Linked DNA regions of Ovis aries. The protein of the gene in region 7 purifies or fractionates together with the protein of the main gene of each other region. This does not show direct contact. Links are inferred from orthologs where the notes say so. Each region holds a gene or a part of one and is shown on either strand. Other genes may lie near its edges.

Region 1 (4,281 bases), on a different chromosome or scaffold from region 7:
AGGGAAGGCCAGAGAATGAGATGGTTGGATGGCATCACCATCTGGTGATGCAGAAGGAAATGGCAACCCACTCCAGTGCTCTTGCCTGGAAAATCCCATGGACGGAGGAGTCTGGTAGGCTACAGTCCATGGGGTCCCAGAGAGTCGGACACAACTGAGCAACTTCATTTCACTTCACTGACTGGATGAACATGAGTTTGAGCAAACTCTAGGAGATGGTGAGGGACAGGGAAGCCTGGTGGGCTGCAGTCCATGCAGTTACAAAGAATCAAACACGATTTAGTGAGTGAACAACAACCGAGATTACACTAAGTGAATAGTAAAGGGTTTTCTCACTAGCCTTGTTCCCTATCCTACAATCACTTTCTGCCACTCTGTGGCACTGAGATTGATGGAGTTAATCAATTGTTCTTAAAAACTACCTATATGTCTAGACTCTAGACAAACTAATTTAAGGACGGCTATTAACCTCAAGGATTTACAACATGACCGTGATTTGGGAGTTTTTATAGATCAAGCTGCCTGCTAAGAGGCAAAGGGACAAATTGTTGTAGTAATCCTGGGAGAGGGACAACGGTGATCTGACTGGGTTGGTAGACACAGGGGACTAAGAACAGACCGTTCCGAGATGTGTTTAGGATTAGGTGCTCGCTCAGGTGAGGACTGATTACATTGTATTACACCTGCCTCACAGGATAAAAGGAATTGATGACACATTTTAAGCGCTACTAAAGTTAACTGGGATACTGTGTCATCTCCTTCTTTTAATTATTAGTAACCACTTTTAAAATTCCAGGGTCTTATCGGTTTGTCTGGTTTACTGATGCCCTCTACCCCAAAGTGGAGGATAACATTCAATTTTTTCAGTTAGTTGAAAATACTTTTTCTGAAAAAAATAAAAACAAAAAACAAAAAAACACCAACCCTCATTCACTACAAGCCCAAACCACGGGTACTCCTGGTGGAGACACTTTCTCAAATTCCAGACTTCTTTTTCAGAGGCTTAGCTTGCTCTACCGGATTCCCACCTCTCCTCCGCTCCCAGCTACATCCTGAGCCCGCCCCAGACTGTTGCCTCCAGCCTTCCTCCTCCCCCTCCAGCTCCCTCCGCCCCACTTTCCCTCCCACTAAAGAAGCCCCGCCTCCCCGGTTCCGCAACCCAACTCCTTCCCTCCTTCCGTCGCTTTCCTCTCTCCCCGCCCCTATGGCTGCCTTCGATTGGCTAAACTGGCTGTGCCGCGACAAGGCTGTAGCACAGCCTTATTTTTATTGGTTGAAGTGTAGCCGGGCCTCTTGTGATTGGCCGATAGCAGGAGACAGCAAGTGTGACTGCGTTCCGGGTGTGTGTGGCCGCCGCTTTGTTGCCTGAGGGGGGTGGTGGTGGAAGTTAAGGGAGTCGGGGGCTAGCGCTTCTGCAGACCCGCAGTCGCAGCCGTTGCAGTCATTTCGCCAGGTGGCCTTTACGAGTAGAAGTCTCGTCGACAGCAACCATGAGCGGCGGGGTATACGGGGGAGGTGAGTGCGGTCGGTCGGGAGAGCGCGCCTTTTTAGCTTGTGGGGTTTGTAACCGCCGCCCCCAGCCCTCCCCTTCCCGGCGGCCCTTCCGGTCTCCCCCTGGGGACCCCGGCCTCCCCGCCCTATCCCCGCCCCGCGCTCTGCCCGCCTCCGGAGCCCACCCGGCTCGGCGAGCGCTACAGGCGCCGGGAGTCGCCGCCCCCTACGGCCCCTTCCAGCCTCGGGCCGCCGAGGAGCCGACTTTTGGGGCTGCGCGCGGTCCGGGGCTGGTCGGGCAGCTCCACTCGCGGGCCAGGCCCGGAGAGCCGCGGCTGGAGTGACTGGCCGCAGGGTCACCTCTCTCCCAGCCGGCTCTGTCGCGGTGTGCGCGCCCGTTTAAAGTTGGGAGGTCCCAGCAGTTCGTCGGCGTGGCTGGAGGGTTTCCGCGGCGTCTCGGAGGTGGCACAGCGAGCCGCGAGGAGTGGAACTGATTGGAGGAGTCGTGGCCACTCAGGACACAGCCTCCTTCTCCATCCGCGCTCACGCAGCCTCACGCCTTTCAATAACTTCTCCCTATTTGTTGACTGTGGATGCTCCGGACTTATTCGTGGGCGACTCTGCACCGGCGTAATTTAGGAACATATGCAATTTAAGGTTGCTTAAAGATGGGTGGGCTCCTGTGTAGTGAAAGATTACCATGGGCCTGGGTTGTAATATCAGCCTCACCACTTAGTAAGCTCATTGGCCTTGGGTAAGTTACTTAACTTTTGCCAACTTCAGGTTCGTCGTTTGTAGAATGATAATTCCTACCCATTGGGGTGGTTGTGAAGATTAAACGGCGGTAATGCTGCACTTACTACTAAAAGTATGATCCAAGGAGCAGCAGCAGCAGCATCACCTGCAAGCTCTTTAGAAATGTAAAATCTCAAGCCCCACTCTAAATCTACCGAATTGGAGCCTCCGTTTTTTCGAGATGCTTAGATGAAGCATTGATGTATATGATTCATGTTTTTGATGAATTAGAGAAGAAAGAAACTCAAAGTCGTGCTTTTGTTACTGTGTTCAGTAAGGATACTGTTTTCTGAGCGGATGGAATATTATAGGTAGGAGATGAAAATAAGCTTTTCAAAGTTTTTAGTAGTTTTGAAGTGAAGCTTGAGTTTCTGCTCAGGTGACACGCTGGCCCTCACCCTCTCCTTCTCCATATATGTTTTTGGTTTTGATTTCTGAAGTGTAAGAATCAGTTTTCCATTGTTACTTTGGAGAAAGCCTAGTGGATCTTCATGATTTACTTTTTCCCCACCTGAAGATGTAATTCTGACAAAAAAGCTGAGTATACGTGCTCGTGGAGGCTGCAGACTCTATTTTTTGTTTTGTTTCGTTTTTGGCCTCACCATACAGCCTGTGGGATCTTAGTCTCCAGATCAGGGACAGAACCAAGCCCCCTGCGTGGGAACCACAGAGTCTTAATTACTGGACCACTAGGGAAGTCCCTCTCCAGTGTTCTTGCCTGGAGAATCCCAGGGAGGGGCGAGCCTGGTGGGCTGCTGTCTATGGGGAAGTCCCTGCTGATTGTTTTGACTCTCAGGTTCACTCATCTAAGGACCTAAAGGTTGTCCACTGAGTATTTTAATGTGAGTAAGGTAGAAATGGATACCAATAATTGCAACAGTCAACATTTATTGAGTGCATCCTGTGTACCAGGAACTGTTCTTCATGACAGAGGCTTGTAATGCATTGTATTTAATACATGCATTGTCAGTTAATCCACAACAGCCATGGGAGGTGGTTCTACTTTTCCCCATATTACTAAAGAAGAAAATAAGGCATAGAAAAGATTAACCAGCCTAGAGTTACATAACTTTCTAGCAAATGGGCAACAGGAACTTCTGGGATAAAGAAAAGGCATTTCAGTAAAACCTTTTCTCATTAAAAAAATTTTAAGTCATTTTTCAAGTATATAACCACAGCATATTCATGTATGATTTAGATATTCAGAATAAACATCACTTTGTTCATGTAGAGGAGTATATCTTAAAGCCTGTTTCACATATAAAGTATTTAAAACTGACAAAAATAAGTGTATGATTTTGTGTTTGAGCTGCTACTGTATGACCAGTATTTATAGTGGGTCACATTTCCCAAAAGGTTTACTGTAAAAGGCAACGAAACCTCCCACCCACATTTTGTGTGTAATTAACTTAGTAAACTGTATTTTTAACTAACTTGCTTATAAAATGAATGTTTGTAGTTTAATTTTTAAAATTGGTAGCTCTTTTATTCCAGTGTTTTTTTCCTGATCAGACCTAACACTCCGCTTTAGATCTAATGCACAGTTCATCCAGATTTTCACACTTTCCATAACTGGTTTCTGGGCCTACTCATTGCTCCTGTGTCTATCTTACACGGTACTCCTCTGCTTCAGTCTCCTTTCCTTGACAGAAATAAACAGGTATACTACCGGTCCATCTTCGATACTTCATTACTTTTATCATTCCACAGCCCCCCTTCCCATCTCTAATCATAAAAACTTCTCAAAATCATTCTCCCTGTGAATTGGGGCACCCTTGTCCAAACAAAAAAGTAAAACAGCCTTCTTACCTCTTCGCAAAGTCAGCTTCCAGTATCGTGTTGGAATGTTTTTAAGACCAGGTTAGAAAATTGCCCTCATTGCTTCATGTTTTCTCAGAAATATCACTTCACCCCTAAACTTGGAAGCCATTTACTCAGGAGTAAAAGGTGTGTGTGCTCAGCTGTGTCCAATTCTTTGTGACCCCATGGACTGTA
Region 2 (3,777 bases), on a different chromosome or scaffold from region 7:
AGCTTGAGTACATTGCTGCTGCTGCTGCTAAGTCGCTTCAGTCGTGTCCGACTCTGTGCGACCCCACAGATGAGAGCCCACCAGGCTCCCTCGTCCCTGGGATTCTCCAGGCAAGAACACTGGAGTGGGTTGCCATTTCCTTCTCCAATGCAGGAAAGTGAAGTTGCTTAGTCATGTCCGACTCTTAGTGACCCCATGGACTGCAGCCTTTCAGGCTCCTCCATCCATGGGATTTTCCAGGCAAGAGTACTGGAGTGGGGTGCCATTGCCTTCTCCTGAGTACATTGCTGCTGCTGCTGCTGCTGCTGCTAAGTCGCTTCAGTCGTGTCCGACTCTGTGCGACCCCATAGACGGCAGCCCACCGGGCTCCCTCATCCCTGGAAAAGGTCCTCCCAATTACCTTTTCAAGGTAAAACATGGAAGAACAGTGCATTTCCCCCTAAAATCATAATTACGCATCAGGATTTTTCAAGAGAAATGTGACAGGAAAATGACTCACCTGTGGGACCACATTCTGTACGTATGTTGGTGGATGCTGCTGCTTCTGCTGAACAGCACTTTCTATTGCTACTTTAGCTACAGTGCTTGGATCTGCTCCTGCTGGCACCGCAACCATCGTTGCACTGCAGCCAGCATTGTTGGGGTCACTGATTGTAACAATTCTAACTCCCACTTTATTTGGAATTCCTGTGACTGTTTCCCTATCATTATCCTCTGCTGGCCTCTTTACAGTTTTGCATTCTGCTGTGCCATTTGTAGACCGAACGTCAGACAACAGGGCAGGAGAATGGGACACTCTTGATCCTGAGTGGGGAACGGCTATGATTTGATGCCCCTGTATAACAGAGGTTGCAGAATGTGGTGAGACAACTACACTTGGGCGTTGCTGAGGCACATCTGAATTCAAACTTGAAGCTAGAGGTCCATTAGGCAAATCAGTACCACTAAACTGCTGTGTTGCCACATTTGAGGCCTCCTGTATACTGCTCACAGATGGTGAAACACCCAAAGTTAATATAGGTCCATTAGAAGTTCTTTCTAGTTGATCACCTTTGGCAGTATCTTGCTGAGTGGCATCTAAAGTCCCTTGTGGTTCCATTGGAGATATCTCACCATTTCCTACATGATTGGAAGTTTTGTGATTTGGAATGTTTTTGCTTAAATGAGAACCATCTCCTTTATCAAAATCACAGATTCCATTAACTAGAGGTTTTTTCAAATCACTTTTAATATCCTGCATGTCCATTTGTTCTGAGTTCTGTTTTCCAGATGCTCCATTCTCACCTAACTCTAACGATGGCCCATTACTGATTAGTGAGCACTGATTAGCCTCACTTTGAATTTTCCCTGAGTTTGAAGGAGGTAGACTTGAGTCACTGTATTTTCTCCCATTTAAAAGACTTCCCACCTGCATTTCATTTTCCTTTGTATCCCCATTGCTGGTGTTTGTGGTTCCTCGTCTGCAGGACGGGTTCTCCATGACTTCAATTTTACGTTCATGAACATGTAAACCTGTTGCTTCTTTTGCTTCCTCCTCCTTTTGGCAAATTATTTTATCACCTTTGAATGGGGGAGTAGCAGTGGTACAAGATGATTGTCCAGCTGGAGATGCTTGAGTGGCTGGAAGCGTTTGCACCTGAAGTCCAACTCCTGCCTGGGTCCCGCTCATGGTAATTCCTGCTGGAGCAATGAGCTGAGTTGTATTTCCCTGACTCACAGTTGCAGTTGCAAAACTTGTATTTGGCACAACCGTTATGGTTACCTGGTTGCCAGAAGTCCCTTGGAAAATGGTTGCTGGGCTATTTGAAATCAGCGGGCCTGGCAATATTTGTAAGTTCGAGATGGGCACGGTTTGCACTCCCCCAGTGGGTGGCATTGCACTTTGGACCAACTGAACATTTTGCTGCCCAACCAATAGCTGCTGAGCTGGAGTTTGCCCTTGCACTCCAAAACCTGCTGCTTGGTTATTGGCCACCTGGTACACCACCTGAGGACTAGGAGCTCTTGCATTATTTGGGGGAGGAATCTGTGGAGCTGGGAGAATAAGCTTACCACCGGGAGTTGAAGGACCACGCTTTGGAAGCAGCAACTGTTTTATCAGACTCGACTCACCAGAAGCAGGCTGACCAACTCCTGCATTCGTTTGCTGTGGTTGAACTTGCATCTGTACTTGTTGTGGCTGCTGAACTTGTACTTGTACCTGTTGTGGAGGTGCTGGTGAATGCTGCTGCTGTTGCTGCCTTTTCACAGACAGCATTTGACTGACAGTAGGAGGTGGTCCCTGCGGTTGAGGGGTGGAAGAAGATGACATGGCAGTAGGGACCTGGTTAGTAGTAGCTGGGACAGGTGATGGTGAGGAAGATGGAGTAATGCTTGGTTGTCCAGTTAGCTGAACTGCCTGGCCAGCTGGAAGAGCTGCTGGATTAGCAAGAACAATTTGGTGAATGGCTGGTGCATAAGTTTGACCTTGTTGAGCTGGCTGGCTTACAATCACTACACTTTGTTGGGGTGGCTGCTGTGGCTGTTGAATAGGCTGTTGTACCACTGTTGATGAAACTTGCTGAGAAGGGAGAGGTTTTGGTGCAATGTTTTGAAACCCTACCCTTGAGGGTTGCGGACTTGGGACACCAGCAATGGTAACCATTTGTCCTGTAGCTACCTGAAAATTCTGTACTGAAGTTGCTGAGACAATATTGGATGTAGAAGTCGTTACATACTGTGGGGGTGCTATGATAACAGTGTCCTGTGGCTGGCTACCAGCTGATGTCTGCTGAGATGAAGTTTGTACAGGTTGGGGTGATGTGGTGATTAACTGTTGACCCTGTGAAACTGTAGAAGTACATGCTGGTATGTTCTGAACTCTGCCAAATATATGACTCTGTGGGACAGCTTGCTGAATCACTGTAACAGGAGTGCCAGAAGGTATCTGCCCCGGTACCACTGTGTGTAATGGAGACTGCTGTGGAATTACTGATGGATGGTGAAGCAGTGTCTGGGAATTTACAACTGTAACAGGCTGTGGCCCTGTACTATGATTCTGAACCACAGAACTCTGTGCAGCTCCTCCTCCCACAGCAATACTAACAGGAACTGCTGTCTGGGGTATAGAGTTCTGGATTACTGTAGCCTTAACAACTTCACAAGGAATTGGAGCTTTATTTTGAATGACGGTCACCGGAGCATTTTGCTGCTGGTGGGTATGAACTGAAGGATTTGGTGGAATTCTTGAAACAGTCTGTGCCACAGTATGAACACCTTGTACTGGAAAAGACATTTGTGTTGCAGTCAAACTTGAAGATTGGTTGGTAACAGGAGTCCTCTGAAAATGGTTTCCTACAGTTTGTGGTCCATGAGGGATTCCTGAAAATATAAGGAAAAGTTAAAATTCACAGTGAAATGACTGAAAAGCAGCATGTAGAAATTATTTTACTTAATTTCAAGAGAAAACAGTTTTAAGAAATTAACAACTCTGCATTATATGAATATGATAAAATAGAATAAGAAATAAAATGTTACTGAAAAACAAGGACAAGTCATACATCTTAAATGTATATAATACATGTTTTCATTTAGCCTTCTTATTAAATTGATAATATTTAATCACAATAAAAATTAATACCTGCGGGTGAAGGACTTGGAGATACATCAGGTACAGAATCAACACGAACAACAGGAGTAGAAACAGGTTGCTGCTGATAGTACATCTGAATGGGAAGTGGGATAGCCCTACGTTTTACTCCTACTACATGAATATGCGCCTGCCCATTGTTACTGGAA
Region 3 (3,777 bases), on a different chromosome or scaffold from region 7:
CCTAATGCGAAGAACTGTGTCACTAGAAAAGACTCTTAGGCTGGGAAAGATTGACGGTGGGAGGAGAAGGGGACGACAGAGGATGAGATGGTTGGATGGCATCACCGATTCGATGGACATGAGTCTGAATGATCTCTGGGAGTTGGTGATGGACACGGAAGCCTGGGGTGCTGCAGTCCATGGGGCAGCAAAGAGTTGAACATGACTGAGCGACTAAACTGAACTGATACACACACAGAAAAGGAAATGGCAGCCCACTCCAGTGTTCTTGCCTGATAAATCCCATGGACAGAGGAGCCTGGCGGGCTGTGGTCCATGGGGTCCCAGAGAGTTGGACACGACTGAGTGACTAACAGACACACAGCATACACCATGCCCTCTCCCCCCCAATGATGTACATTTTTTATTTGATTTTCAGTGAGTTATTTATAAAAGTAATTTTGACCTTCTGCCAATTGGTTGAAAGGCTTTAAAAAAAAAAACAACCTTTGTAAAGTTGTGTGTAATATCTTTTCAATGCTGATAGGACTTTTGGAAAGAAATGTCTCTCTCTGGATTTTTTGGTGGGGAGGAGTTTACCAGACTGCTCACCATAAGCCATTCTTGGTTTGTTCCAGCTTGCTAACAGTTGGTGTCGCATGTGAGCCTTTCACATGTGTTCATGCTCCATTCCAGCTGTGATTGAACTCTGCTCTTATTGACTAGGGGGCAGTTGGGCAGGCATGCTTCGTTCCTGGAATTGACAGTCATTCCATGTGAGTAAAGGGGAACCTCAGTGAGACATCTTTAAGCATGTGAAAAGCATTTGGTGTTACAATGGAAGGAATATCAGATACTGTTGGTGCCTGAGCCTTTGCAGCAGTTTGGTTGGTGCAGAACTGATACACTTATTTTCTCCAGTTCTCTTCTTTCTTTCGCAGTTCTGCTTGAATGTTTTCTGTCTATTCGTAATCATTTTTACTCCTTTTGACCCTTCTTTTTATTTCCCCCTTCTCTGCCTTGTTCTTCTCTTTCAGTTTTGAATACATTAACATTGAATCAGCACTTCTAAAGCCCTGCTTTCTCCCAGTGGCTTCACTTGGCCTTCAGACATAATGAGGAGACTGGCTTTTCGAGGAGCTGGTTGTGCTCTGGTAAAGCTGGTAAATTACTGATCATCTACATCCTTTCCCTTTTCTGTCCTTTGGCTTTTCCCTTCTACCTTTCTTAAATTTTGTTATCCTTTTCATAGAGTCCCACCTTATGTTCATCAGATTCACTTGAGTCCTTGTCATAGATTGTTTATAAAAGCTTGGTCCTTAGTTTCTGCGTCTTACTCAACTGAGGCCAGTTTATCAGCCTTTTATGAAACAAATAAAAATAACAAAACTTGGCTGGCCTTGGCCTAAGTCCTTTGAAGCCTTAGCCAGTTGCAGCAAACTAATAGACTGTATAACAAACTAAGTCCTAGGGGAAGGAACCTCGTGATATTAGGCTCAGTTTTTAAACACCATGTGGGCCGTGGTTGAGGGGAAGAGGTTAGAGACTTCTTTTGTTTGTTAGTTGGCTGCCAGAATTTTTATTTTGTTGGTTTGTTTTGTTCCTGTTTGCGATTCCCTGCAAATCCCCAGTTTTTCTCTCCATATTACTGGCAACCCATTCTTTCAGCTGCTGGTGTCTGTTTCCTGAAATTGGATGTTGATAAGAGACCCTAGGATCAGTTTTTTCTTTTTTCTTTAAAGAAAGACCTTTGAAATCACAGTATCCTATTTGATACTGTTGTTAAATTGTATAAGCATTGTAGGACCTTCTTGGGTATATATCCTTCCCCTCTCGATGTAGCAGGTCATTTCAGTGGTTGCATTTTTTATGTTATAGTCAAATATATATAAAGTTGTGTAAAGATTACTTAGCAGCCTGCCTAAAACTAGAGCAAATATTTACATGTTTCTGGGAGGCCAAGGAGGACCTAAAATCTCATTTTTGAGGTATTCTTCCAGATCTTCTGCTGAAATGTAAAGTTGTGAGCTCATGGGGAATACCTCATAGAACTGAAAAGGTTAGTCTGAATTGACAGAAAAATTTCCAAATGGAGTTTTGCTACTTTAGTTAGCATAGGCATGGCAAGTTGAGTGTTTTCTCGGTTATGTCTTGTGAAGCTTTCTTTACTGAATGGAGAAAATTCATTTTCAGTGTGTTAATTTTAGGGTACATCTGAAATGCTAGAAGGTTAGTCCTCTATCCCCCTACTCTTTTGTCACAGGGTCTGCTTCTGCAGGTCTCCCCCCAACACACACATCCTGGCCTTCCTAGAAAGTGGTCATAATCGTAAGGAACTCTGGGGAAAACAGATGAGGCTGCTCACTCCAGAGCTGACCTCCTTAGGGTCTCTGACCCTGAGGTAGTACACCAGCACACCATTATATGTGGGTGTACTGTTTTATGTGGATTTTCAAACTCCATTCCAAGGTAAATTGGAGGCCAGAAGTGGTTGTCATTCAAAATTGGTAAATACAGATGAGTATACTTTTGCTGAATTTGTCCCATCCAGTGGAAAGTGTAGCATTCTGATAAGTGAAGGAGCTAAAGCAGGGTCTAGGACTTGCATTGAAAAAGCATAGTTAAGCTTCTTTGCAACAGTGAACATATCTGAAGCTTGGTAGCAGGTGGCCAGCTGAGGGCTTGGTGGCAGAGCATAAATTTCAATTTTAGAACATGGCTAATTCTTTCTTATAGAAGAAGTTGGATTCCATGGGTTCCAAGAGAAGAAGAGCTACCTCCCCTTCCAGTAGTGTCAGTGGGGACTTTGATGATGGGCACCATTCTGTGTCTACACCAGGCCCAAGCAGGAAAAGGAGGAGACTTTCCAGTCTTCCAACTGTAGACCCTGTAAGTAACTTGAATCACAGTTTCTGCCTTCTGCACGATTCGCTACCCTTCCTGTAATGATAAGCTGTTAAGATGCAAGGCCTTTCAGCTTCTTTTTCCTCTGGCTTGATCTTCTTAATCTTTCTTTCATGAAAATATTTAGCCAAAAGCCTTACAGTAATAGTATAATTTAATATTATGGAATAATAAAGAATATTATTTTGTCATATAGTCACTAGAGTAACTGTGCTTGTCCTGTGCCAAGCTCTCTTGTGATGGTTGGAATATAACCATGTGTAAGGTGAGCTAGTTTTTCACATGAAACTTAGAGGCTGGTGTTGGGGAAGCAGAATGTAGACGGATGAGCACATAAATAAAAAGGTAGCCTCCGTTAGTGATGAATGCTAAGAAGAAAAGTTTGGATGATCCAGGCTGTTTTGGCCATGTCTTCAGGAAAGGGTTCTTTGTGATCAGAAGGCACCAGCCCTGCAGAGCGCTGGAGAGGAATGTTCCAGACCGAGGAGCTGGCTCAGGAACGGGTTTGATGTGTTGTGATTACAGAGAGGGTCAAGAAGGAGAAGGAAACTGGCAGAGTCTGCCCAGCCAGAGTTTACCCTGCATACTCTGTGGGCAGTGTTAGGAATTTAGATTTTATTCTCTGGCTGCTAAGAAGCCCCTCTGTTGGATGCTTTTTAAGCAAGGGTGATATGAACTGATTTGGTTTCAAAGAAAAGAAAAATCACTAGTACCATATTCTGATGAAAGATTTAATCATTTAAATAATCTTAAATAAGGAGACATAATGTCAGCATATTTCAGATTTGGGTTCCCATGTGGGAATTTGGGGATTCATCCTTTCTCCTGGCTTTTTTTTTTTTTTAATAATCCTAATGCGTACCATAACTTTCTGATCAATTTTCTGGTGATTTT
Region 4 (4,322 bases), on a different chromosome or scaffold from region 7:
AAAAAGAACCCAAATTTGCTGAATGAATGAAACTCATGACCTTTTTGTGAAGAGCATTTACTTGAGACATATTTTCAAATAAGGAAATTTTCTTTTTTTTTTCCGGTTTATTTTATATATAAACCAAGGGATTGATTTCTGAGCCTCATTAATGTTGGGTGACATTTTTATATAAACTTTTCCTTCTTGTTACATGAAAGTTTAACTTTACTGTGTATTAACAAACCCTGCACCAACATATTACGGACCTTTGCCCATGTCCCTTCCACAATTTGGAAACTTTTGGCTTTTTCCCTCACACTGATTAGCTTGGGCCTCATGTACAAGCAAGCCACTAAATACATAATTGCAAAAGAAAAGCGCGAGGGTGCCCTATTTCAAAACCTAATTCCAAAGATGCAAGTCAGATGAAACTGACCCACATTTCCCTCAAGGGTTTATCCTAAGAGGCGAACTCTGGCCGCTGCAGCCAAGCTGGCCGACTGCCCATGAAGTACAGGACATAGCCTTCGTTTCCCGATTTTGGGTCGCGCTTACTTTCTAATTGTTCGGCAGGGCTGTGTGCGCGCACGAGACCGTGGACTCGGAGGTGCGCACTTCGGGGCGTAGCCGAGCCATTCAAACCAGCGAATCGGCGCTTCCCTAGTCCGGCCACCCCTGCCCGGTCTCAGCAGATGCTCCACGGGTGCGCACGAAACTCCCCGTTCCTGACCTTCCTCCTCCCCTCTCCGGATACCCGCACAGCTCGGGGCGGCCACTTCTACCCAGGAGGGGCTGAAGATGAAGTTGGCAAAACTGCTCGAGCTCTAGAGCGGAGAGCCGAAACGCCGCCGAGGGACACCCGGGCGCGCGGAGAGGGAGGCAAGTGGCCCCGCGCGAAGGGGGCGGGCCGGCTCGAGCGCTCGCATTTCCTGTGACAGGGGCTGCCCTAGCCGCTCCCTCTCCCGCGGGCGGCGGGACCATTTCCTGAATCGCTGAAGCGGAGGGAGGGCTGGGGCGCGGCCCTACCACGAGCGCAGAGGGCCGGGGGTGGCGGGGAAGGACAGGCGGAGGAACCGGAGGGCGACCGAGAACAGGGACGTTCTGCGGGGACCGCGGCTCCCAGGTACTGCGCAGAAACCGGACTAATTCGGGCCAGAGCTCCTCCCGCAGGCGGGGCAGGCCGGCTGCCCGTCGGGCGCCGGAGCATCCCCCCTCCCCGCGAGCCCGACGTGGTTCGGCCCGAGAGGCCGGCGTCTCTCCCCCAGTTTGCCGTTCACCCGGAGCGCTCGGGACTTACCCGTAGTGGTGACGGCGGCAACATGTCCGTGGCGTTCGCGGCCCCGAGGCAGCGCGGCAAGGGGGAGATCACTCCCGCCGCGATTCAGAAGGTGAAGCCGCGCGGCGTCGGGGATGCCAGGCCCGGACCGCGTTGAGGAGGAACCCGGGGGTTGGGCTCGGGCCGGGCTTGTCGGCCGCGCCGGGGGCGGAGGCGGGCCTGCTGGGCTGGCGGGCGGGTGTGGGAACCTGAGCCGCGGGGCTGCGCCCGAGTGGGTGGCGGAGGGGGCGAACTGCTCCCCTCGCGGAGTCTTGCGCGCCCCCTCGGGCTCCTTCCTACGGGCACAAAAGCCCTAGTAACCGCCGCCCGATTTCTCTGGGGATGGGGCGGCGTTCGCACGGCGGGGCGCGTGCGCCCGGCGGCGGCGGCCGCGCGGGGCAGGGCTGTTTTCCGAGGCCCGCGCCCCCCGCGATCCGCGCGTCGCTCCGGAGTTACTTTGGCGTCGCCCCGCCCCGCGCGGTGCGGCGGCCGCTCCGGGTCGACCCCACCGCGGTCCCCGGGGTGGGCCTAGGAGAAGTAGGAGCGCTGCTTGCTCTCGGTGCTCGGCTGCAAACTCCAGCCGAGTTGGGGAGCTCTCAGCAGAACTTGGGGAATGCTGCGGGAAACCTCGGCCGAGGCTCCGAGGCGGACGAGGGAGCACCCTCTAGACTTCGGGGTTCTCTCGGAGGCGCTTCTCCCCTCCGGATCCACCCCCGACCGATTTACAGCTGCAGCGCCAAGCGTAGGCGCCGAGGCTGCGGTGGTGAGCATGGTCCCTGCCTGCCTTCAGGGAGCTTAGGGTCGAGTGATGGATACAGTCTGAGCCTCGTGATCAGTTTCAGAAGACGTGATACACACGCGGGGAGCTGCGCTGTGGCCGCGGTTACTTGCTAGTTGGGGACACAAAGGTTTCTTTATTGTTTTCTGCCCCTTGTTGCCTTTGAGCACTGCAGCATTCTGAATTTTAGTGAACCAGAGTTTGTAAAGTTATTTGCTAAATTTTGCAGTTTACCCTAAATAGTTTGGTTTTGTTTTATGCACCGGAATAAAGATCAAAACGGAAAAAAAGTCAACTTTCAGGACTTGTCAAGACACCATCGTATGCCTAGTAGTTTATGTTAATAGGCTTCTGTTGACTCTCAGGCTCTTTACAGTGTGGCGTTTGACATTTGCCCAACTGTTGCTTTATTTATGAAGAGACACGCTTGGCATTGCCTGAAAATGCAGTGCTTTTTGTATAGCGTGCTGGGAGAAGTCTGCGACCTGGCAAACAGCTACGAGTACACGTACACAAAACGTGTTTCTGGAAGGCTTCACTTTTTGGACTGTAGAAAAGTTCTGAGTTTGTATTTCCTATGAAGAATTTTTCTTACCTACATCTTAAGATAATTTATCGTGGGTGACTAACTAAAGAGATGCTGATCAGTTAAAGTGTTCATCCTCAGCTCAGGAGAGAAAAAGGATCCCACATTAAGTGCCTGATTGTATAGCGTGAGGGAATGACGTTAGATACAAGACAAACCCAGACGTTCTAATGGTGAAGATTGTTAAACCGTGGAATCTACTGAGAAGATAGGTTGTGAAATCATTAGATTGGAGATTGTATTAAAACACATTCTAAAGACAATTTTTTTGGCATCTGATGAGTAGATATAAGAAGAAAACTGCAATTTTTTTTTTGAAGGGCATGTTAATGTTTTTTTTTTCCACCAAGTAAAGACATTCATATGCAGAAAAGAAGTCACACTTTTAAATGGATCTTCATGTTTAATTAAAAGAATTACATTAACTAAATTAATGAGAAAGAGTGGTTATGGTATTAAAGCTTTGAAATCCTGGAAGGGTGGGGGCGGTTTGAGGAGGAACATCTACTCCTGTCCCTTGATAAATCTGAGCCTTTGACATCTTGAGTGGTTTGCTCAGGATAGCTTGACAGTAAAACTGGCCTTTTAATTGCTACATCAGTGCTTTTTCCTCAGCACCACTCTGCTTAGATGCATTATTTAATCCTTAAAGCCAGTTTTGCTTTGAATTGTTTTCATAGTATGATAAATATATGCTTGTTTTTAAACTTTTGGGACAATTATAAGGTTGGCTCATAGGGTCTGTGGTTAATATAGTACTTACCGAGAAATTATTGGAATTATTGCATATTTGGAAAGTCACAAAACCATGCTGCATAAAACTGCTGGGAAAGATTGAGGGCAGCAGGAGAAGGAGGCGACAGAGGAAGAGATGGTTGGATGGTATCATGGACTCATGGGCACAAGTTTGAGCAAGCTCTGGGAGAGGGTGAAGGACAGGGAAGTTTGGTGTGCTGCAGTCCATGGGGTCTCAAAGAGTCAGACATGACTTAGTGACTGAACATCAACATAAAACTTGGAAGCTAGCCAGCTATCTCCTTAAGCCTCCTGTGCTGAAGTTTTCATCAGTTTACTTCATTCTGGATTAGGACAGATTAGCTTCTACTGCAGGGGGCACAGGTTCAATCCCTGATTGGGAACTAAGATCCCACAAGCTGGGTGGCAGTGGTTAAAAAAAAGAAATTGTTGATTAAACATAACATCCCAAAGATATAAAATAAGATCTTTTATGCAGAGCTATATTGTAGGTATAAAAAAGAACTGTGGAGTCAGTTCCTGTATAGATAAACTTTTATAGAAATCTTAATTTTTTATTTTACTTGATGCATGAGACTTACAATAAACTTTTTTTACTTTTATTTCAGATGCTGGATGAAAATAACCATCTTATTCAGTGTATAATGGACTATCAGAATAAAGGAAAGACCTCAGAGTGTTCTCAGTAAGATTGATATGAAAGTTTTTTGGTATTTCTTTTTCTATGTTGGTTAGTTTTTTTAACTTTCCTTTCTTTTTAAGAATAGCTTTATTGAGATATAACTCACATACCATATAATTCACCTGTTTTAAAGTGTACAATTCAGTGGTTTTAAGTATATTCATAAAGTTTTACTGTTAATGCTTTGATCAATTTTAGAACATTTTCAACAGTCCGGAAAGAA
Region 5 (4,505 bases), on a different chromosome or scaffold from region 7:
CACAGGAGGCTAATGCTGCTGGGAGGAGCAGTGGGCTGTGGAGCAGAGAAGCTATAGACAGGAAACCTCGGAGGGAGAACTGGCCAGGACTTGGACAGGGTGAGAGAGAACTGCCTGGGGCTCTGTGCCTAGACCAGGGGGCCCTAAGAAGAGAACCAGAGAATTCTAGAGAGCTGGCCTCTGTCACCACACCTAGCATGCTCTGCCTTGAGTTTTCTTTCTCTGTTGCTTTCCTTATCCTCACCTGAAAGGCAGGGGGAGTGTTTTACTCATCCTTGCCTCAGTGTCCACCGCTGTAGGGCATGTAGCAGATACTCAAGATAGCTCTTTGGTTCAGTTATTTTGAATCAACGGCTTTGAGAAACATGTGCTACCTTTGATCCCACTATTAGCAGACCCATCCTTCCCTCCACATGGTAGTTCAGCTCTTTCATTCCTCAGGCGGGCAGACACTATTCCTGGGGTCCTCATCAGCAAGATGATACGTGCTTATCGAGCCGTGATATTAGTGGATGACAGAGGGGATACAGTCATAGATGCTATGTCAGGTTCAGGGTTAGTGAGACAGTTCTCTGGCTACACAGAAGGAAGTTTCTCTACAGGTGAAAGAAGTAGCCGCTACCAAGCAATGCAAACTGTCACCTGCTTCCTTTCTGTTTCTTGAAGCGACTGCTTCAGGGCCCTCTCTGCATACGGAAAGCATGAATAAATGCCTGGGGTGACGGGAAGACAGGGAGCTGCACTGAAGACTGACTATTCACCCAAACATCTACTGAGCATCTACAGCGTCTGTGGACACAGTGAGGACTTAGAGCAATTGCATCTACTGTATTCTCAAAATTCAACCTCAAGGTCATTTTTTCCCGATGCCTCTGGACACCCTTCATCTAGATTAAGGCTGCACCTTGTAAAGCACTTCCCTTTAACCTAGCATTTATAAAATGGCATTTGAAATGCTTGTTTTCTGGTCTGCATGGTCTGCTCAACTGGAAGCTCTTTGAAAGCAAAACCCAATTTTGTCCTCAGCACTTTGCCTGCCAACTCTCGCAGTGCAGGCATCATTTAATCAACGATTGCTGAATTAAACGAGACATTGATGTAGAGTGTCAAGTATGGACAAACTGGCACCTCAGGATCTCAGGGGGAAGTCTTGTTGGAATTCTAACTGAATGTTGGAAGAGTAAGTGGTCATCAAGAAGAGATAAGAGAATTCCAGGTGAGAACAGAGGTGTGCAAACGTTGGAAGGCATACTGAAGGTGTGAAATTCTCCACAGTTGGAGCACATTGGTGTATCTGGGGAGCGAGGGGCCAAACAGGAGAGACAGCTGTACAGGATAGTGTAGAACCTCAGTAACACTGGTGTCAAGTCCATAAAATATAGATTATGGTTGCAGCCTGGCCAGAGAATTAAGATATTGCTCTGGGAAAAAGCCAGAGACCCCACTGGCAGTGCCTCGCACCTCACCCTGCACACAACACGTGCTGCCAGCTGGCCCGCAGACCCTGGCTCGCTGGGGAGCCCAGGGGACTCTGAGATCCCCAGGGTGGGGCCTGTTGGGTGGGACGCCCGGGGTGGGGCACCTGGGGCGGAGCGCGCAGGCGCGCTGATGCCTCGAGCCCCAAGGGGAGGGCGGGTGCGCGCACTTCTCGCGCACGCGCGCACGGAGGGGGCGACGGCTGCGGTGACGCTGCTGCGCCGGGCGGGCGGCGGCGCGTGAGGCGCGCGATTCTCGGTGTCTTGGGAGCAGTGCCCCGGCCCCCGCCGTTCCCGCCGCCGCCATGTCGGGTCGGTCGGTCCGGGCCGAGACCCGCAGCCGGGCCAAGGATGACATCAAGAAGGTGATGGCGGCCATCGAGAAAGTGCGGAAATGGTGAGGGGCCAGGCCCAAGGGTGCTGGTGGGGGAGGCCGCCGGCCCGGGTCCAGAGCAGCGCTGAACTGGCGGGCAGGGTGGGAGCCGACCGGCAGGCGCTTGGGGGGAGGGGGGAGCGGAGAAGGCGGGAGGAGGGAGCCGCTCGCGTCGGCGTGAGGTCAGAGGCCGCGCCGGCCGCGACCAATCAGAGGGTTTCCCGGCCCGCGGGCCCGCCCACCTCCCCCTACCCCCGGCAGCGCGGCGCGGGCGGGGAGCGGCCGGCTTCCGGCGACGCGGAGTCTGGGGGGTTTGTTTAGCTGCGGGTCCGCGCGGGCGTAGTCTCCGCGCCCGCCTGCCTGAGGAACCTTTTGCGTTTTGAACTGTCCCGTATACTAACTAACAATCTCTGAGGGGTTCCCGTTGGCCAGACTGAGCACTCTGCGTATTAAGACGTCTCGGTTAGGTGAGAACTTTAAGGCAAGCCACCTGCCACGGGGCCAGGGAGTCAGAATAAAAATTGCTGTCTTTCTCCTAATAGGGCGCACGCGCGCGAGCTGGATAGGCATTTTCTCTTGGTGACCTGGGAGCTGTTAGTAGAAGAATCAGGATCTCCCCCTTGTTTGGAAACGGCTCCTGTCATGTTCATTGCAGGCGCAGGCTGACCGCCTATTTTGTACCGGGAGTTCCAGTGCGTTATCACCCTAAGTTTTTACAGCCAGGTGTTTTCACCAACTTCTTGAGTACTTTTCTCTAGCTGATTGCTACCGATAACTTTTACTTTACTAATAACTTTAAAGCCGGGTAGGTGTTAGCTCCCTCCAGGAAGCCTTCTCCAAGACTTCCTGCCCTTCACCCTCCACTCCCTTCAGAGTCATTGTTACTGTTTAGTCGCTAAGTAACGTCCTACTCTTTGCGACCCCATGTAGCCCACCAGGCTCCTCTGCCTATGGGTTTTTTCCAGGCAAGAATACTGGAGTGGGTTGCCATTTCCTTATCCAGGGTATCTTCCCAACCCAGGGATCGAACCCGCGTCTTGTGCTTTGGCAGGTGGGTTCTTTACCACTGAGCCACCTGGAAAACTGAGGGTCATCATTACCTTGGACTTTATTTGCATGTTTATTTGTCCATTTTGCTACAGGACCAAGTTCCTCATCTCTAAGGACTTAAGAATACTAGTTAAATAGTTAATGATTTTCCTTCTCCGAATCTAATGGTCTAGGTTTTGTGAAACCTAGGACTGGGCATCCCTTCCTCTTCTGTCCATCTCTCTCCTCATCTGCAGCCAAGGGCAGTTGAGCATCTTCTGTCACCTGGAACTCTGTACCCGGCTCCCTGTGATCTGTGCCTGCTTCAGGACTGGCTCAGTTCCCTGGTCCATTCATTACTTTGTATTTTTCTTCAAGTGTGAATTTTTTAGCACTCTTTTGCTTAGGAAATAATGCTTCATTGATCTCTTCTTGTCCTTAGGATAAAGACCAAAAATGATCCTTCATACCTCACTAGACTGGCTCAAACTGCCCTCTTTCGCAAGATGCTGGCCATCTTTCAGTTGGAGCCACACTACCTTTCCTTCCGCCTGGCAACTCTCCTCTACCCACTCCTTCCACTTGCCTAGTTATTGCCTGGCTGTGCTCTGCAGTTGCTTCCTCACCGAAACCTTTCAAGAGCCCCAGTCTAAATCGGGTCCTCTCCTAAATGGAACTTTCCACAGTGGCATTAGGTTGAACCATAAGACATCTATGTTTGCCTCTTTTATCTGCAGAAATGGCAGTTTGATGTGGTTGAATCTAATGATCCGGTTTCTAACTGAAATGAGTTGTGTGGTGTCTGTTTACAGTTGGAATTCAGGCTCGGGAGAGTCAGGACTGTGCATCTTGTTCTGTGTGCCCAGGACCTAGCAGAGGGTCGTAGATTAAATATTTGTTGAATAAATGAGTGGCTTGTCCAGGAATTAATTCCAGTTTCTAAGTCTTTAGTTCATTCTTCTTTCTGTTACATCACAGTCTCTATATTTTTGTGATGTCATTTGCTGAATCAAATCAATAACAGCAGTTACTTTTTTTGCTTTTTTGTGCTCACATTGGGACTCGAAACTTTCAGAAGTCACACTTCAGGCTCCCCAACTTTGGCCATCTGTAATCTGCACCCTTATTCAAGAATGTTACTTGCCTTTCCCTCCCCAGGTATGTGTGGGGAGGGGAGAACAGCTACTCGTTTTTTTTTAAGGCGTATCTCAAAAGTACCCTCTTCTGTAAAACGAAATCTTAAAGTCATCTTTTCATGGCGCTTGGCCTTCACCTCTTCCAAAAGCCAGTGTGAGGCTCAGTTCTGTTAGCTGAAAGCATCATGTCCTGCTCCTTGGTTATTGGAATTGTGTTTCAACCCAGAGTTTCCCTGGTGGCTCAGACGATAGAGTCTGCCTGCGATGCGGGAGACGCAGGTTTGATCCCTGGGTCGGGAAGATTCCCCTGGAGAAGGAAATGGCAACCCATTCCAGTATTCTTGCCTGGAGAATCCCATGGGTGGAGGAACCTGGTAGGCTACAGTCCATGGGGGTCACAAACAGTCGGACACAGCTGAGCGACTAAGGCACCCAGAGTTTCACAGGAGTTTTGCCTTCCATCCTGATCTTTCAGCCTTCTTTCTTGCCGCC
Region 6 (4,395 bases), on a different chromosome or scaffold from region 7:
AGAGTGCAACAGTATTGTCCCTAGGTTTTCCTTCCAAGCTGCTGACATCTATTCTGCAAATTTGGTGCAGGGTAAACAATGACAAATACCACTCAACTCTCATCTGCCAAACCTGATTTTAAGGCACAATGATGGTAAGATGTGTCCTGATTCCGAAATACTAAAATGGGGGGAGGGCAGAGAATATGTGCATCTTAGAATTGATGAAATACGGCATATTACCAGGATCAAAGACCAAGCCCTGGGGACTCTGACGGGTCTAGGTAGATGTGAGGACAGAGAGCCAGTAAAAGAAGCTGAAGGAGCTGGCAGTGTGATAGGCAGCCAGCCAGGAGAGTGTGTGTCTCAGAGATGAGTTTGAAAAAGAAGTGACTGGCCAGTGTTGTCATGAGGGCTGATAGGCTGATAAAGACAGGGAGATCTCGAAATCTGTTGAAATGGAGATCGTGGTGTCTTTGTTAGATGTTTCAATGAACTGATGAGAACAAAATCGCCATTAAACTGGGCAGAGAGACACTTGGAAATAAATCAGCAGGGATAGTAAGTATAAACAAGAATATGTGCTCTGAAAGGGTGAAAAGAAAGAGGGTGATAAAGGCAGAAAGGGCTTAAGGAAGGGCTCTGATATTTTTTAAAGAGGATATTAAGCCATGTTTGCAGATGAATTTGCATGATTCAATAGCGAAGGAGAACTGAATGGTACAGGAGAGGAAGTTGCAGGAGAGAAGTTCTTCAGAGGAGGACAAGAGCTTAGGGGTAGGAAGCAGGGAAGAAGAGGTGGAGATCAATTAAGTTGGTGGCAGGAAGGTGGGGGAACTTTTGTCAGACCCAAATATTCAGGCCAAAGATCTGCCAGGTTCTTGGAGTTAATATTTCTCTCACTAAAGTGGGCAGCCCAAGAGGAGTGTGCACTGCTCTTACCTTCGGCTACCCACCAACCCCTGAGTCTGTACGTGAGGGCAAAGGGTTATTAACCACGAGGTTAAAGGTCAGCGAGGTAACAGGACGCATGACCTCCATCTAGACCACCTCTGGGCTTGCCAGTTCTCACCAACCTCTCACCTTCTCATTTATGGACCCGGTCAGATCCTCTCGCTTCTACCTTCTCACTAAAAGGATGAGGCAAAACTGGAGCAGAAGCCTCGGGGCGCGCGCCCGCCTCCATTGCGCCTGCGCATTCGTCCCCGGATTGCCAGGCCGGGGAGAACTGGCCAGAAGCTCATTCTCCGTCGCTCGCTCTCGGGCGCACGCGCCCCGGTGGCGCCTGCGCAGAAAGACAAGGAAATTGGTTCCCTCTGCGGTCCCAGCGCCTGCGCGCTGCGGGCTCCGGGCCTCCCGGCCTGAGGGAGAGAAGCCGGGAAGATGGCGGCCGTGGTGGAAAATGTAGTGAAGCTGTGAGTGGCCGTTTCTTTCTCTTCTAGCCTGGGAGGTCTTGTAAGGGACCTGGAAGCAGGGGGCGGTGTGGGAACGGACGAGGCGGAGAGAGGGACGTGCCCAGAGAGGCCGTGTTGCGACTCCTAGAGGGGAGGGCAACAGGAGACTCGGGAAAGACGTTGCGCTTCTTTGGAAACTTGTGGAGGCCCTGAGGGGGGCACACGGGAGCCCGTGACGGGCAGCCTCCCTGTGGGGCTGGGCGCTCCCTCAGGCGGAAGGTTTCCAGAGTATGGCGCCCTTGTTGCGTACGGCACACGGTCCGGGCTTCGCCTCCGTCCGGGAGAGCGGGGCCGACCCCCGCGAAGCCTGGCCGCCGGCCCCTCCCCGTCGGCTGCCCGCAGCGGGCCCCGGAGGAGCAGGCTCGGCCGCCCTGGCGCCGTTAAGCGCTCAGGGCTGTTTTGTTCTGAACAGCCCCGTGACGTTCCTGGGCGGGCGGGGGCGGGGGTGGGGTGGTCCTTGAGTATCAGGTACCCGAGACCAAAAATATTCCTGGGGAGAATTTGTGGAAGAGCAAGATCCAGAGGGAAAGAACTTCAGGGAAGAGGGGCTTGGCGCCGGCCAGTCCCAGCCATCGGAAAGTGGGCACTGGACGGACGCAGTCCAGGACGCCCTGGCCGCCCCGAGGGGCATCTGGGTCGACCTTCTTCGCTCTGCAATACTCTTGGACTGGGCAGATTTCAAGCAAAGTTAAAGTTCATGGTTGTTTGGCAGACTGAGAATGGCCTGTTAGCTGTGAGTTAAAGATGCTTTGGGACTTGATTTAATCCAGCCTCCTCCCCGAAGAAGAATCTCAATGAGTTTTCCAATGGGTTCTTGCACCCCCACCCCCGTCGGCCAATACAGCAAGCTCTTTAATGGACACATTTGGCTTGGTGCAGGGGTAGGAAAAATGAGGTGACCAGTTGTGCAGCTTGGCTTTTGGATTTTGACTGGGTGAGAAGGTAAAGGTTTGGGAACTCTTCTAAGGGGCACATAGCTTCTCAACTGTCTTTGTAGTAGGCTGAGCCCCACTCTTCCCAAGAGCCTTTTTTCTAAGAGTACATTGCTTCTCTCCCTCCCCCTGCCTGGAGCCTTTTCTTTGAGAATGCTTTCCCACTTCCATTAAGCTAAGTGCCTTCTCCTTGTGGGTTTTTTTTTTTTTCCTAACGTGCTTTCAGCTCCATCCTGCTGCCTATTTCAGCCACCCCTACTCCCAGCACTATTTATTATCTTCCTCTCTGATCTACCCACTTCAGTTTCCCCAGCACTCTCTCCAAGCTGACATTTCCCTCAATTTAGAAATGACGCTGCTGATCTACCATTTATATGTTATCCATACTGACTCAGATGTTCTTTCTTTGTTTCCCTGTCTTTCTCTTTGTTGACTGCCCCTGTCCCATTGTAAAGGGAGGTTTTACACAGGTTTCATGCCTCTCAAAAAAGAATCAAAGCTTCTACCTTGGAAAGCTTACTGTAATGGGGGAATGTCAAAACTTGCCTAGGTTTAAGAGTTTTATGTAGTGAGATTGTTTATGTTGGAAGACTTTCATCTGAGAAATAAGGTCACCAACCCTTTCATGCAGTATTGGAAGTGAGGGGTTGCCCGTTTAAATAGAGCTTGACTTCTTATTTCTCTTTAAAGATCTGTAGAGATAGTGAAGGTCACCAACTGCTGATTCCTGAGTACCAGTAATAAATAACCAACTTTCTACTCCTCAGTTCTAGCTGTAAAGAGCTGTGGACCACAGTTAATACATTTTCGTACAGAACCTGCTCTTTAAAAAGAGACTTCCAGTCTTCCTGTACCATTCTCATCCTGTAAAGAGACGCTTTTCTTGACCACGGTGTGCCTAGTCTTCTGACTGCTGAGGTTTTACATTGAGGTCAGGACTACTAGCTCATCTTTTCTGACTTGCATCTTGTTCTGGGAGAAGAATTTTCCTGTTTGTAAATTCTCCATCCCTCCCAAACGTGGTGTCAGAATTGAAACAATCTTTAAGAGGTCTTACAGGGCAAAATAATAGTATAAAAGAGCTGTGGTTGCTGAAATCCTCTGAGTTAGGTAACAAGATCTGGAGAATGTTAGCTTAAAATTTCTTGTAGGAGCCTTAGATTCTTAAGAGAGCTCTCTCATTCTTTTTTGCTCTATCCTCATCAGATCCTCTCTTCCTCCAACTTGTATTTCGTTATCAGCTCTCACTCACAATGCAGTTTGCCCCACCTTCTGAAATCCCATTTAACTCACCGGAGCTTTGATAGAACATCTCTCGTCATATCTCAACCCCACCCCCGACAGTTTCCAGCCTCCTTGCTCTGACTTTGCAGTTCTCAGCCTGTCTAGCCCTTCTTTCCATCTGACTTACAGTGTCAGTATCAATTTCCATCAGCAGAAACAAAGGCGCTGCCGCACTCAGCCTTGTTTATCCAATTTTCCTCTGTTTAGTGAGGACATGGCTGCCTCCTAAAGGCGAGCAAATATGAGCCTATTCCTTCTCTTTATTCTCCAGCACAGGCTTCATGCCTACCTCAAATTACAGTCATTACAGCACATTGAATCAAGCCAGACTATCTTGTGATGTCACTGCCTGCGTGCAGTGTATGTCTTTGTTGGTTGCTGGGAACGTTCTAAGCTGTGCCTCAGTGGCTGCCCCATGAAAGCCCCTCTTCGATTCCAGAGCAGGGTTTGTTGCTGCAGCTTGAGTTACGAACATAAACGACAGAGATTTACTGTGTTCAACTTCTCATGCTTGGAGTCTCCCTCTTGTAGAATATGTCAGAGCTTATCTAGTTCAGCCTCCCTAGTCAATAGCATACCTGAGATCCACGTGGGTTGACTAAATGTCCATATATGTGGTGACTTGCAGCCAAGCCTGATCTTTTTACTTCTGAGTCAGGATATTCCAGACACCTTCATGGGTGCTGAGGATATTGTGGGAAAGAAATCATCTGCCCTCAGTTTGTTTACTTTAAGATCAATCAAGG
Region 7 (2,598 bases):
TGTATGGTTTTTATCCAGTGACTGCCCTGGTGCTCCTTTGACACCCTTTAAACCCACTTATTAGACCAGTGAGGACCATGGCTTCTTGGTAACTAAGTGCTAATTATGGTAATTGGTGACCTGATTTCCAGATCATGTTGTTTATTCCAGATTATGATGATGGCTTTTCAATGAAGCATACAGCCACCGCCCGTTTCCAGAGAAACCACCGCCTCATCAGTGAAATCCTTAGTGAAAGTGTGGTGCCAGACGTTCGGTCAGTTGTCACAACAGCTAGAATGCAGGTTCTTAAACGACAGGTCCAGTCCTTAATGGTTCATCAGGTAAAGACAGAAAACATTTGTTATGGTAAGATGGGCCTGTGCCGTAGGTGCCCGGTAACCTGATTATGTACCATGCATGAGTGTGCCTGTTAAATATTTATGTCCAATATAACCCGTTCCTGATTCAGGGAAGAGGCTGGAGGGCGTAGACCCTTCCCAGAGATTAAGTAAGTTTGTCATTAAAACTGTAACAGGGAACCTTTTGACGGAAAGTGTATTTGTTAAGAATTTTGAGATATCCTATCAACTTTTACTAGCCTACTAAATATTTTTCTTCCAAAACATTGCTGAGAGCTGACAGTATTGTCTAACTTACTCTTGTTAATGAGTTATCCTCTCTGTGCTGCATTTTTACATTTTTTAAATTTTAGCACATTATATAATAAGTAATTTAAATTTAAAAAGCGAAACACTTATCACACTGTGAAAAAGTGTGGACCATTAAAAAAAAGAGACATATTTTCTGTGTTTGACATTAGCTTTAGAGAAGATAATTTAGTAGTAAATAACAAAGCTTGGTCTTATCTTTTACAGCGAAAATTAGAAGCTGAACTTCTTCAAATAGAGGAGCGACACCAAGAAAAGAAGAGGAAATTCCTGGAAAGCACAGACTCATTTAACAATGAGCTTAAAAGGGTATGGAATGTGTTACCTATACTTGTATCACTGTGTCTGTTACTTTTTTTTCTCATTCTTTTTTCCAAAATAGTGTTTTTATGTAGTGTCATTCACTTTGAAACAGGGTTAACTTTGCTGTAGCTGGTAAGATCTTTACTTTATAAAATAATTTCCATTTTCTGGCAACGTTGCAATAGGTTTGAAACATTGTATAGTATACACGTTCCCTGAACTAGGCCTGAGACTCTAGAACCCTCTGGTATTTTAAACTCTCATACACTTGTGAATTATTTTCATTGCAACTTACTCATCAAATGTCTTCATTAGCTGTAGCTCACAGTTTGCACTTCACACGAAAACAAGTAAATAGAGTGTTTGGCAGCCTGAAATGTAAAACAGAAGCTTTGAGTATAAGCCAGTGCTTTCAGCGTTGCTTCACCAACTATTCTGGAACACTTGATACTACATGGCTGCTAGGGCAACTTTCCTGTAGACACAAGAGCTTGGTTTTTTTCCTGCCATATATATGAATATAGTTCTTAGCCAAGAAAACCCACTTGTGAATAATTTCTCTGATTCAGAGATTGTAAGAAAAGAACATGACTAAGAGAGTGTTTTGTTTTCTGACTACTAGTTGTGTGGTTTGAAAGTAGAAGTGGATATGGAAAAAATTGCCGCTGAAATTGCACAAGCTGAGGAGCAGGCTCGAAAAAGGCAGGAGGAAAGGGAAAAAGAGGCGGCAGAGCAAGCCGACCGCAGCCAGAGCAGTATCGTTCCTGAAGAGGAGCCAGCAGCGAGCAAGACCGAAGACAAGAAGGAGGACGAGAGCATGCCGATGGAGACAGGTAGCCTGCCAGGTGATCGCAGAGTAAATGTTGAGGGCTTTTACAGCTGTCTTTAATTCTGACTTTCCTTTCTCAGTGCTTTCTGGAGGTCACTCTGTTAATCTTGCCTCTTGAATTATTCTCCATATGACATATGCATTCTTTCTTCCTAAATCTTAATCTCTTATAATAGATTCACTTAAAGTGTTGGTATTGGTACAAAATAGCAGTGATGTGTTGCCTTTAGTCTGGCTGTTTGAGGTCTTGGGTATTTGCCCAGATTGAGTCATATCATTCCCTTACTTGGGATATAAAGTATTGAATGTAGTGGTTTAACGGTTAAGGGTACTGGCCTGGAGGGCCCACAGATCTGGGTACTGTTCCACCCCATACTAGCACTGTGACCTTCAGTCTAGGTAAGTTAATTTCAGTTTCCTCCTTAGTAAATATTCTAGCACCCACCTCTTGAAATTGAATTCCCAAGGATAAAGAAGCAGATGTATATAAAATCATCATTACTGGATTTGGCATGGTATTGGCACTCAGTATTTTAACCTTTATTGCTAAAATTGTTTAAACAGCATGTGGTCCTTGCCCTTAAGATCAGTCATCTTTGGTGTCCTAGAACAGAGTTGGGCAAATAAAACCTGCAGGCCAAATCCTGCCTGCCACCTATTTTTGTAAATAAAGTTTTATTGGAACCATTTGTTTACACATTATCTGTGGCTGCCTTGGGGCTCCAGCAGTGTAGTTGAGTAGTTGCAACTAAGACAGCCTGACTCACAAAAGCTGAAAATTTTCTATCTAGTCTCACAGAAAATGTTTATTGATTC

The links.
Region 1: the proteins of SMARCE1 (region 7) and ACTL6A purify together in Homo sapiens (affinity purification with mass spectrometry; 9 studies listed by BioGRID and IntAct, with this or other methods). This does not show direct contact. The link is inferred for Ovis aries from reciprocal best matches to the Homo sapiens genes SMARCE1 and ACTL6A.
Region 2: the proteins of SMARCE1 (region 7) and ARID2 purify together in Homo sapiens (affinity purification with mass spectrometry; 7 studies listed by BioGRID and IntAct, counting the BioPlex papers as one, with this or other methods). This does not show direct contact. The link is inferred for Ovis aries from reciprocal best matches to the Homo sapiens genes SMARCE1 and ARID2.
Region 3: the proteins of SMARCE1 (region 7) and PBRM1 purify together in Homo sapiens (affinity purification with western blotting; 9 studies listed by BioGRID and IntAct, counting the BioPlex papers as one, with this or other methods). This does not show direct contact. The link is inferred for Ovis aries from reciprocal best matches to the Homo sapiens genes SMARCE1 and PBRM1.
Region 4: the proteins of SMARCE1 (region 7) and SS18 purify together in Homo sapiens (affinity purification with mass spectrometry; 4 studies listed by BioGRID and IntAct, counting the BioPlex papers as one, with this or other methods). This does not show direct contact. The link is inferred for Ovis aries from reciprocal best matches to the Homo sapiens genes SMARCE1 and SS18.
Region 5: the proteins of SMARCE1 (region 7) and BCL7B purify together in Homo sapiens (affinity purification with mass spectrometry; 3 studies listed by BioGRID and IntAct, counting the BioPlex papers as one, with this or other methods). This does not show direct contact. The link is inferred for Ovis aries from reciprocal best matches to the Homo sapiens genes SMARCE1 and BCL7B.
Region 6: the proteins of SMARCE1 (region 7) and DPF2 purify together in Homo sapiens (affinity purification with mass spectrometry; 9 studies listed by BioGRID and IntAct, counting the BioPlex papers as one, with this or other methods). This does not show direct contact. The link is inferred for Ovis aries from reciprocal best matches to the Homo sapiens genes SMARCE1 and DPF2.

Annotation. Positions count from the first base shown.
Region 1 is NC_056054.1:208,341,785-208,346,065, reverse strand, and holds the start of ACTL6A (actin-like protein 6A), read left to right. Parts: upstream 1-1,321; 5' UTR 1,322-1,490; coding exon 1,491-1,515; intron 1,516-4,281.
Region 2 is NC_056056.1:140,643,834-140,647,610, forward strand, and holds part of ARID2 (AT-rich interactive domain-containing protein 2), read right to left. Parts: coding exon 3,620-3,777; intron 3,361-3,619; coding exon 500-3,360; intron 1-499. UniProt on the Homo sapiens protein: Involved in transcriptional activation and repression of select genes by chromatin remodeling (alteration of DNA-nucleosome topology). Required for the stability of the SWI/SNF chromatin remodeling complex SWI/SNF-B (PBAF).
Region 3 is NC_056072.1:48,268,208-48,271,984, forward strand, and holds part of PBRM1 (protein polybromo-1), read left to right. Parts: intron 1-617; 5' UTR 618-755; intron 756-1,016; 5' UTR 1,017-1,094; coding exon 1,095-1,142; intron 1,143-2,715; coding exon 2,716-2,868; intron 2,869-3,777. UniProt on the Homo sapiens protein: Involved in transcriptional activation and repression of select genes by chromatin remodeling (alteration of DNA-nucleosome topology). Required for the stability of the SWI/SNF chromatin remodeling complex SWI/SNF-B (PBAF).
Region 4 is NC_056076.1:31,045,729-31,050,050, forward strand, and holds the start of SS18 (protein SSXT), read left to right. Parts: upstream 1-1,261; 5' UTR 1,262-1,279; coding exon of another isoform or gene 1,280-1,301; coding exon 1,302-1,370; exon of another isoform or gene 1,371-1,781; intron 1,782-4,025; coding exon 4,026-4,102; intron 4,103-4,322. UniProt on the Homo sapiens protein: Appears to function synergistically with RBM14 as a transcriptional coactivator. Isoform 1 and isoform 2 function in nuclear receptor coactivation. Isoform 1 and isoform 2 function in general transcriptional coactivation.
Region 5 is NC_056077.1:34,112,960-34,117,464, forward strand, and holds the start of BCL7B (B-cell CLL/lymphoma 7 protein family member B), read left to right. Parts: upstream 1-1,643; 5' UTR 1,644-1,780; coding exon 1,781-1,872; intron 1,873-4,505. UniProt on the Homo sapiens protein: Positive regulator of apoptosis. Plays a role in the Wnt signaling pathway, negatively regulating the expression of Wnt signaling components CTNNB1 and HMGA1.
Region 6 is NC_056074.1:39,982,865-39,987,259, forward strand, and holds the start of DPF2 (zinc finger protein ubi-d4), read left to right. Parts: upstream 1-1,319; 5' UTR 1,320-1,362; coding exon 1,363-1,394; intron 1,395-4,395. UniProt on the Homo sapiens protein: Plays an active role in transcriptional regulation by binding modified histones H3 and H4. Is a negative regulator of myeloid differentiation of hematopoietic progenitor cells. Might also have a role in the development and maturation of lymphoid cells.
Region 7 is NC_056064.1:40,585,940-40,588,537, reverse strand, and holds part of SMARCE1 (SWI/SNF-related matrix-associated actin-dependent regulator of chromatin subfamily E member 1), read left to right. Parts: intron 1-150; coding exon 151-323; intron 324-857; coding exon 858-959; intron 960-1,575; coding exon 1,576-1,798; intron 1,799-2,598. UniProt on the Homo sapiens protein: Involved in transcriptional activation and repression of select genes by chromatin remodeling (alteration of DNA-nucleosome topology).